3 separate regions of the Mus musculus genome follow, and all the other regions are reported to be linked to region 3. The links are microRNA targets in miRTarBase. Many come from high-throughput screens and were not tested one by one. Region 3 holds a microRNA gene; each other region holds the end of a gene's coding sequence.
Evidence for each region. The annotated mature microRNA mmu-miR-301b-3p reads CAGUGCAAUGGUAUUGUCAAAGC and lies in region 3 at 1,174-1,196, shown strand. An mRNA with a match to its seed (bases 2 to 7 or 8) in the 3' UTR can be bound and repressed. Matches are read on the target gene's strand: a 7mer-m8 pairs with bases 2 to 8, a 7mer-A1 pairs with bases 2 to 7 and ends in A, and an 8mer does both.

Region 1: the mRNA of Mtmr12 is a reported target of mmu-miR-301b-3p. Seed matches in the 3' UTR shown: 7mer-m8 at 1,385-1,391.
Region 2: the mRNA of Ppp1r21 is a reported target of mmu-miR-301b-3p. The part of its 3' UTR that is shown has no 7-base or 8-base seed match.

The regions. Positions count from the first base shown.
Region 1 is chr15:12,269,901-12,272,900 of GRCm38, forward strand. Mtmr12 (myotubularin related protein 12) reads left to right here. Exons shown (of 16, transcript NM_172958.4): 16 at 1-2,340. The coding sequence ends at 171. Among named protein-coding and RNA genes, the nearest start is that of Gm52210, 49 kb to the right of the region's middle.
Region 2 is chr17:88,587,122-88,590,121 of GRCm38, reverse strand. It overlaps Ppp1r21 (protein phosphatase 1, regulatory subunit 21), which reads right to left. Exons shown (of 22, transcript NM_028658.4): 22 at 1,755-2,438. The coding sequence ends at 2,409. Among named protein-coding and RNA genes, the nearest start is that of Gm31704, 37 kb to the left of the region's middle.
Region 3 is chr16:17,122,467-17,125,615 of GRCm38, reverse strand. It overlaps Mir301b (microRNA 301b), which reads left to right and starts at 1,120; the gene lies at 1,120-1,216. 2610318N02Rik (RIKEN cDNA 2610318N02 gene) reads left to right here and starts at 414. Exons shown (of 7, transcript NM_001358255.1): 1 at 414-626. It overlaps Mir130b (microRNA 130b), which reads left to right and starts at 1,474; the gene lies at 1,474-1,555.

The sequences.
Region 1 (3,000 bases), not on the chromosome of region 3:
GCACCCGGCCTGCTCAGGAACTCAGTCCGCCTGTCTTCCTTGTTCCCCTTTGCACTGCTCCAGCGACATTCGGCCAAGCCTGTCTTACCCACCAGTGGCTGGAAAGCTTTAGGAGGCGAAGATGACCTGGCCAAACGAGAAGATGAGTTTGTGGACCTAGGGGACGTGTGACCTGTCTCCTCAGGGACTGTGAAAGAGGCACACTGTATGGTGGGACAGTTGTTCCCTGGACTGGTGTCACGGTGTTAGCCCAGTGGTGTGAAGGAAAGAGCAGAGGCTTTTGGGAAGAGAGCTTGTTCTCCTTTTCTTCCACAGTTCTGGAAGACATTCAATGAAAGCCATGCCTCTAGTATGCATAGGACGGAGTTCCTCCTTGACCTGTCATAGGATGGGGTCGTCTCCTGACATCTGTATTATATGTATACAGAATGGCTCACGGCCAGGCTGCTGTGAGAGCTCCCTCCTGTTGTTTCTGTGCCAAGATAATTATGTAGCCATTCCGAACAAGAGGTATTCAGGGATGTGCTTAGACCATAGCATATTCCTTGACTTAAACCATAGCATATTCCAATGCGTGCGTGTACACACACACACACACACACACACACACACACACACACACACGCAGCCCATAGAGAACTTGGACAGTTCTGCTGGTGTCATCCATCCTAATGTTCAGCCCCTCCTTCCTGGGCTGTAACAACACAGGATGCGGGCAGCCTCCTTCCCTTTTCCTTTGCTGTCACTCCCACCTTCCCTTTTCCTGCTCTATGCATACCATCCTATGAGTCTACCTTGGTGTGCATCGTCCCAGGGTCCTGCTGCTGTGACCTGTTGATTAAACTGGGGGCAGTCCTCTGTCTTCCACAGGGGAGCTCATTCCTGGAGCCCTCAGTTTTGACCACACATTTGGCCCTCTGCTCACCACACCTGGACTGTGCCTCTCTGCAGCCCCTCAGCTGGTCCCCTTGCCTTCCCCGTTACCCTCACAGATGCTGGGGTGGGCAGGCCAATTCGAATGTGGCTTTCACAGGAAAGCGGTCGTGTCAGAAGCAGTTATCACTCATATATGCCTCAGCGATGTCAAAAGCCATAGAAGAAACCCAGCTCTGCCTAGTCACCTTGGATCTGCTGTCTTAAAGATATATATTTTTTTAATGTTTGAAAGAATCCTTTGTAAGGCTCAGTCCTATCATTCTCAACAGAGCCCTGTTCAGTCCCACAAACGGTGTGAAGAGTGGGAGTGGGCGAGGGACCTCATTGAGTCTGCCTCAAGTGTTTGCCTTTTATCTATATTTGCTGGTCAGGAGAGGTCCTGTTGAGGGCGTCTCTGTTGCTCATGGGCAATAAGACATTTTGAAACTTCACAAAGAATCCTTTCTGATTGCACTGAATCATCTTTCATACATAATGATAATTTTTCCTCGTCTCCCTCCATAATAATGCACAATCCGGGTTGGTGTGTTGACCCAGCAAGTTGAGGGGAGGTCAGGATTTGTGTTTCTGGGGACAAATGCACTCAGTCTCGGTTGCCTTAAGAGTCTTTCAGGCCAGGTTCGTGCTAGGCTTGCGCTAGGAACTTAGAACACACCAGTCCTTAGCTCCCTCTCCCTGGGCTCCTTGGGCTTCTCTAAACTAGCACTAACCGCCACGCCCTGAGCCTCTGCCACACCCTCAGCCTCTGCCTCCCAAGTCCTCAGCGGAGAGAACTATTTTTGTTACCATATTATAACGTGAATGTTTATATGGTAGACTCTACAGTCTTAGTGATTTTCTTTCCAAAAAATGCCTCTTGTGATGTTTTGTACTTCACAACGTATGGTTTAAAGGCACATGGTCATGACCCTTGGTATAGCAGTTGAATGTGCATTAAAATATTTTTCTATTTTTTTAAATCACAATAGAAAAAGTAAATAAGCTGTTATGACCTGTGTGGTTATGACTTATGTATTTATATTTGAAGCCAGATTTCTATAACTTGGATTTGTGTACAGAACTTCCCGTGGGTTTATATATTGTGTATTTTTATTCAAGATTGAGATGTGGATTATGCTTAACATTAAAAGATACAATAAGACCATTTGTTTAAAACACACTGTGCAAGTTTGGAAGTGTCTGTTAATAATTTACTGTGTATAACACTTGCATTTGTTTATACCTCTATGTTTTTACACTGAAGATAAACTAGCTTTAATTAAATTTTAAAAATTTAAGGGATTAAGCTATTAGACTGAGTCAGCTTCACTGTGCAGTTTATTTTCTGGGTGTTAATGAAAGTTTATACATGTCTCACTGCATTGGAGCTGACTGCAGAGATTAAAGCACAACTTTGAAACAGCGCCATGGTTGGTGTGCACGGTCTGCTCCTAGTTTATCCTCCTCATTCGTTCAGGACTTGATAAACGTGTCCTGGGTTCTGGCAGGCCCCACAGCAGGCAGAGCCCAGGGAAGCACAAAGCTGTGCTTTCCAGGAACCCCCACACCTCCACCCTTTCCTATCCTCTGCGTATATGCATGTATGAACACTCGTGTGGTTGGCTGGTGATAGGCAACCAGCATCCAGACAAATACTCAAAATTCCAAATGATAATAAGATGCTCTGAAGAGGGTTGATGAGATAGATGGCTCAGCAGGTACAGGAACTTGCCACCAAGTCTTAGGGCCCTAGTTCAGTCCCCAGGACCCAACAGAAAGAACTGACCCCTTTAAATTGTCTTGTGACCTCCACACATACCCTCTTGTCTTGTGTCCCCACACAAAGTAAGTAAGTGTGGTTTCTAGCTATCTGAAGACAAGGTAATTGGGTGAGTGAAAGAAAGGGCTTGTGTGTCCTTGAAATGAGCTAGTGCAGCATCTTTGCCCTGAGGGGGGTCGTCTATCATAGATAGATGATGATGTCTCAGTTTGACTTCTTGCTGGAAGGGACCTGAGTTCATAAAGCAGGGAAACCAGCTTTGTTTTTCTTTCCAGATGTGAAAGGTGAGCTTGTCCTGAGCAAAT
Region 2 (3,000 bases), not on the chromosome of region 3:
GCCAGGGCTCAGCAGGAAAAAAAAAAAAAATCACAGGATAAGTACATGCCATTTGAGAACATAAAGACCAAACCAGTGAGTGGAAGAGCTTTTCTCTCTACAGAGCCCACGGTAAGCAGGGGATTGGGGGACTGTTTTTGTTTGTTTTACCTCAGTATATGCTTGGCCCACGTATTAGAAGGTGTGGCCCTGCTGGAGTAGGCATGTCACTGTGGGCATGGGCTTTAAGACCCTCATCCTAGCTGCCTGGAAGCCAGTCTTCTCCTAGCAGCTTCAGATAAAGATACAGAACTCTCAGCTCCTCCTGCACCATGCCTGCCTGGACGCTGCCATGTTCCCACCTTGATGATAATGGACTGAACCTCTGAACCTGTAAGCCAGCGCCAATTAAATGTTGTCCTTATAAGAGTTGCCTTAGTCATGGTGTCTGTTCACAGCAGTAAAACCCTAAGACATGTCTATTTCAAGACTTTCATAATAAGTGATGACAACCAAGTTAGTGGCATAAATCCACTCAACTCGTTTCGATAACTGGAAGATTTGTATGGGAGAGAATGCGTATTTTAAAATGTCAGGGGCTGGGGCGGCTCAGTGGTTAAGACTACTTGCTGCTCGTGCAGAAGGCCTGGCTTCAGTTCGCAACACCCACATGACAGCTTACAACAGACAGGCTGTAACTCTGCTTCCAAGCGACTCAATGCACTCTTTTGGCCTCTGCAGGCACCAGGCCCAAGTGGGGTGCGTGCGTAGGCATACCTGTAGGCGAAGCAGTAATATACAGAAGAAAATAAAAATTAATTTCTTTTTAAGTCAGAATAGAAAAACAATCATGCCAGAGGCTGGAGACTCAGCTAAGAGTGGCTGCTACTCTTGTAGAGCCCTATTCCCAGCAAGGCTCACACAACCACCCACAGCAGTACCCACGGGACCCTACGCCGCTGGCTTCTACAGGCACCTGCTCTCATAGGTACATAAATATGTACATGATTTTTTTAATGAATTTTTTTTAAAAAAGAAAAAATTATGCCAAAGGGGAACACTGTATCCAGCCTTGAAGTGAATCTAAGAAGCTGGCTAGCAGCGCACAGGCTTCTGAATAAAGGTGTGAAAGGGGAAGCTGGATAAAGTCTCAGAGACCGAGAAATTCAATCCTTTACCCTCCACATACAATGCACCTGGAGTGTGATGCCCCAACCAGAGCCGTCTCGGGCGTCTCGGTGAGCAGGCTCAGGCGCCTGCTCCTGACTGTGGCCTTGGCCCTCCAAGCCTCAGGTTTTTTCTTTTTCTTTTTTTTTTTTTTTTAAAGATTTATTTATTTATTATATGTAAGTACACTGTAGCTGTCTTCAGACACACCAGAAGAGGGAGTCAGATCTCGTTAGGGATGGTTGTGAGCCACCATGTGGTTGCTGGGATTTGAACTCAGGACCTTCGGAAGAGCAGTCGGGTGCTCTTACCTGCTGAGCCATCTCACCAGCCCCCTCAGGTTTTTTCTCTGCAGGACCGTGATAAGCCACTGAGCACAAGGCACACGCCTGTGGCCTTGGGAGTAGGGTACAGGGAGAGGCACCCTGGGGTTGTCCAGGGAGAGCTGAAAGGGCTTAGGGTCCTTGTTTGAAGAGTGGTCTCCAGCAAAAGCCAAGGGTCTCCTACAGGCTAACCTGTGCAACTGCTCAGTTAAGAAGGCCACCTCTCAGTCAGCTGGGACCGGATGCGGTTCAGTGTCTCTCACCACACTGTCACAGACCGAAAAGTTCACGTGGGTACGAATTTATTGACAGAATTTCCTTTAGCAATTATTTGAACACAGAGAGTGTACTGTACAGCTGCAGACATGACAGCGAACCCATAGGCTCTAGAAGGCTGTAAGGCTTGTCACCTTCAAGGGACAAGGGGGAAGGGGAGGGAAAGGGATGGAGAGACATGGCAAGGGAGAGACTCTTTTAAAAGGAATCTGAGATGTCTTTCAGTTTTCAATTATAGGAAGAAATGACAATACAGGAAGTAATGACATCTGACAATTTAAGCATTTTATCCAGAAACATATATCTATTCCATAGATACCAAATCCATTACCATATAATTGAGTTTGAAAATATACAAAATATTTGTTGTTCTTACATACTGAAATTAAATCCTAATTTTAAAAAGTGCACAGTAAAAACAGCGTAAGGAAACCTACAATGTCCACGGGTATGTGTACTGCTTTCCATCTGACTGTCAACATGGGGCTCTGTATTTGCTTCTGTTCACAAATATTCTTCAAAGGTCTCCAGGTCACAGACAGCACTGGCTCATCTACCAAGTCCAAGGGCACACGGCTTCCCAGCGGTCACCAGCACTGGCTGTGGAGTCTGGCTCGAGTCTCAGGGCAGAACAGTCACTGCGGTGGCAGCCTAGGTCATCAACTACCGATTCCGGGTCTTCTTAGAATTCCCCTGTGCAAAGAAAAGTGTCCACCCTAAGAACACAAGTTTCACAAGTGTTCTCACAGCGTCCAAAGCAAGCTGCCAGGGGCCTTGCTGTGCCGTGCAGCACGGTGGCTTCCCACACAGACAGCCTGCGTGGCAGCTGTCACTCCGCCATCACAAAGCTTCTGACTCCCCGCTCCCCATCCCAGACCCAATCTCTCCCAGGGCCGAGGGCGGATGAGATAGAAAAGCGGGTGAATACTCAGTTTACCGAAATTCCTTTTCTTACGAAATTTCAGGAAACAAAATAGTTTTGGCCCAAATATTTTTGTTGTTGCTTAAATCCACAGGTTTTGGAGCAGTGGCTCTCGACCTTTCTGCTATGAATTGTCATGTCAGTAACTGTGTTTTCCAAGGGTCTGAGGTGGCCCCTGAGAGAGGGTCATTCAAGCCGCAGGGTGAAACCCGCTGTTTTAGAGCTGTTTTAGAGCTCGGAGTAGTGGCACAGAGCTCTCTCACGGGGTGCTCTCACGACGTTCTCCTCTCTCTGGAGAGGGTCGCTTCTTAGGACTGCATTCCAATGAAGTCC
Region 3 (3,149 bases):
TCTGAAGTTGGACAGAAAGAGGGAAGGCCACGGTTTTTAAGTAAATGTCCCATCCTGGAGGAGCAATGAACAAATTTCTCGCGAAATACGAAGCATCCCCTAGGGGTTCATTCAACCGCTGGCTTGGCCAAAGGACACTTTGCCGGGATCTCAGAGCCCTCGCTAATTTGGTGAGCTGTGTAGTAAGCATGGACGCGCCCTCATGAGTATCACTATAATAACTACAGAGAAATGAGCTGGGAAAAGGCGGACAGAGCTCCTTTTCAAGAGTTATGAATGAGGAGAAAGTGTTTGTAGAACTCATTGTTAAAACGGTGGAGCCAAAACTCGGGCGCCTGGCCAATCGGAGCCTGGAGGCTATTTTGAAATCTTTCCAGCAGCAGCCAATAGGTGCGCAGGAGGCAAAGCTTGGTGTAGGCGCAAGCCAATGAGGCTGGCGCTGTGCCTTGAGGCCCGGGGCTCGGCCCTCGGGACTGTCAGATGGTTAAAGATGGAGCCGAGGGAGAGAGGGCGCCACGAGGTGCTGAGGTGCGGGGTTGTCCAGATATGACGGGGCCGCCGCCTACCTGGATCTTCCACTAAGCTTCACCTTGTCCCCCTGGTGAGAACAAGAGGTGTCTGTCCACGTGAGTAACTGGTCTGGGATAGGGTGTGCGGTGAGGCCAGGGAAACTCCAGATGCCAGGAAGCCCTAGTTCTGCTCTTCTAGGCAGGAGAATCTGTTAGGATAGAGTGCAGAACTCATACTGGGGGAATGGACCAAGGACCGGATCTCGGACTCCAAGGGCCTCACGTGCAAGGAGTGAAGTATCCCTCTTATTCTAGTTCTGGTCTGAAACAGGGTACAAGTAGTCCCACTGTGCTCCCCTCTGCAACTGAGCGCAGGCCTCTCTCCTTTGTGTTTGAGCCCCCTCGGGTGCTCGCCCTTCAGCTCCCTCCTTGGAGTACCTCACCAGAATCAGAAGCCTGTTAGAGAAAGTTTGAGTTCCCTGAAGTTAATAAGTCCAGAGGACTGCATCCGGGCTGGAATCCCGTCTGTTCTCCGAGCTTGGATAGATGTCCCACCCACCCATGGTGGTTGAATTTCCAGCGCAGCCCTGCGTGCAGCGAGGGCGATGGATTTCCTGCTGGCTGCGGGTGCTCTGACTAGGTTGCACTACTGTGCTGTGAGAAGCAGTGCAATGGTATTGTCAAAGCATCTGGGACCAGCCTCGAAGACCACCTCACCTACTGTTCCTTCTTTCTTCCCTTTCCAGGCCTGGCCCCTCAGGCCTGCAGGCCGTACCCTCCCCCTGCTCATTTTACTCTCTTCTCCATGGAAACTTGAGATTGTAGCCAGGCCCGTGTCTCTGGGGTCAGAGGGCATCCTTTGCTCAGGCCGAGGCTCCGCCCAGGTGGGCATGCGTTCTAGGTCTAAGATCCCACTCCAGCCACCCCAACTCCCCATGCCCCGCCCCACCCCGTGAGACTGACAGGCTTGTTGGACACTCTTTCCCTGTTGCACTACTGTGGGCCTCTGGGAAGCAGTGCAATGATGAAAGGGCATCTGTCGGGCCAGCTAAGGAGCCTGAGGAACAAAAGGGTCAGTGCTTGGATCATAGTCTTAGATAGAGATAGCTATCTCTAGCTAAAAGGATAAGGTGGATGCTGAGAACCATATTCCAAGGCTGGAACCAGTACAAAGGGGAGACCCCAGATTTGGAAAGGCTCCAGTCTCAAGCTCTTAGCCCCCTCCCCCCAGGTTAAGATAGGGGAGTCTGCTGCAGGGGGCGCGGCGGTGAGTGAATGGTAGGTAGCTCATGCCTTAAATCTCAGCACTTGGAAGGCAAAGGCAGGTGGATCACCCAGATCTAGGGCATCCTGGTCTACATAGTGAGTTTTAGGACAGCCAGGGATACACAGAGAAACCGTGTTTTGAGAAAAACCAAATTAACTAATTAATTAATTAATCAATTAAAAAAGAAAGAAAGATTGGTGAGCCCATGTCTGGAGGCTGATGCAGGAAGATTGTCTCAGTTTTGAAGCTGTCTGAAGAATCAAAACAAAACTAGGAACTCCAGGACCTTGTGGAGAGAAACAGATGTTCACCTCTTTGTATGGAAAAGGTTTGTATACCTTGCTTAGCCTTGACTGCCTCGGGAAGAACTGGACTCAGCCTTTCCTGAGATAACCACACCTTGGGTTCACACCTTGAGGCTCAGAAGAAGTGTCCTGCCTGGGCCAGATGGATGGACTTGGAACAAGAAGCCTGCAGAGTAGGCCTGCCAGCCATGTCTGCTTGCTCCTTTACAAAGAGGGTATGTGCTGAGTAGGAGAGGCATGGAGGTGTCTGGTATGTCTGCTTTCCAGACAGGGCTGGAGCTCATTTTTATTTATTTATTTATTTATTTATTTATTTAATTTATATGAGTGCACTGTAGCTGTCTTCAGACACACCAGAAGAGGCCATCGGATCCCATTACAGATGGTTGTGAGCCACCATGTGGTTGCTGGGATTTGAACTCAGGACCCCTGGAAGAACAGTGCTCTTAACCACTGAGCCATCTCTCCAGCCCTGGAGCTGAATTTTTAAGGATGCCCGATCCTTAGTGTGCTTGCAGAGTTACCTTTAGCGGCAAGACCCAATGGCCCATGCCTTTGAATGCAGCACAGGGAAGGCATGGGTAGGTAGATCTCTGTGAGTTCAAGGACAACCTGGTCTACCCTGCACGTTCCAGAAGAGCTATATTTACATGGTAAAGCCCTGTTTCAATGCACCCACCCCTCTTTTACAAACAAACAAAAACCTAGTAGGAGGTGGTCAGGCCTGCCTCCTTGAGAGGAGGCCCAGGCTTCCAGATTCCCTTTTGGGAATAGATTGAGAAAATCAGCCTTAATAGTACTCTAGCTCCACAAGTCCTGGCACCCATGGGGACTGCTCTGATACATAATGAGTCTCAGGCCTGACGGAGGGCTTTGATGGGGAAGAAGCAACCACACTCCTTTGTGGCTAGGGTAGACGTGTGTCAGCAGCTGTTGCCACAGCAGATCCATCCTGAGGTGCTAGGAATCCTAACATGTGCATATCTTACATATCTTACATGTGCATATCTTACATATCTTACATGTACATATCAGGGGAGGTCTGGGCCGCAAAGGATTTAGGTTGGC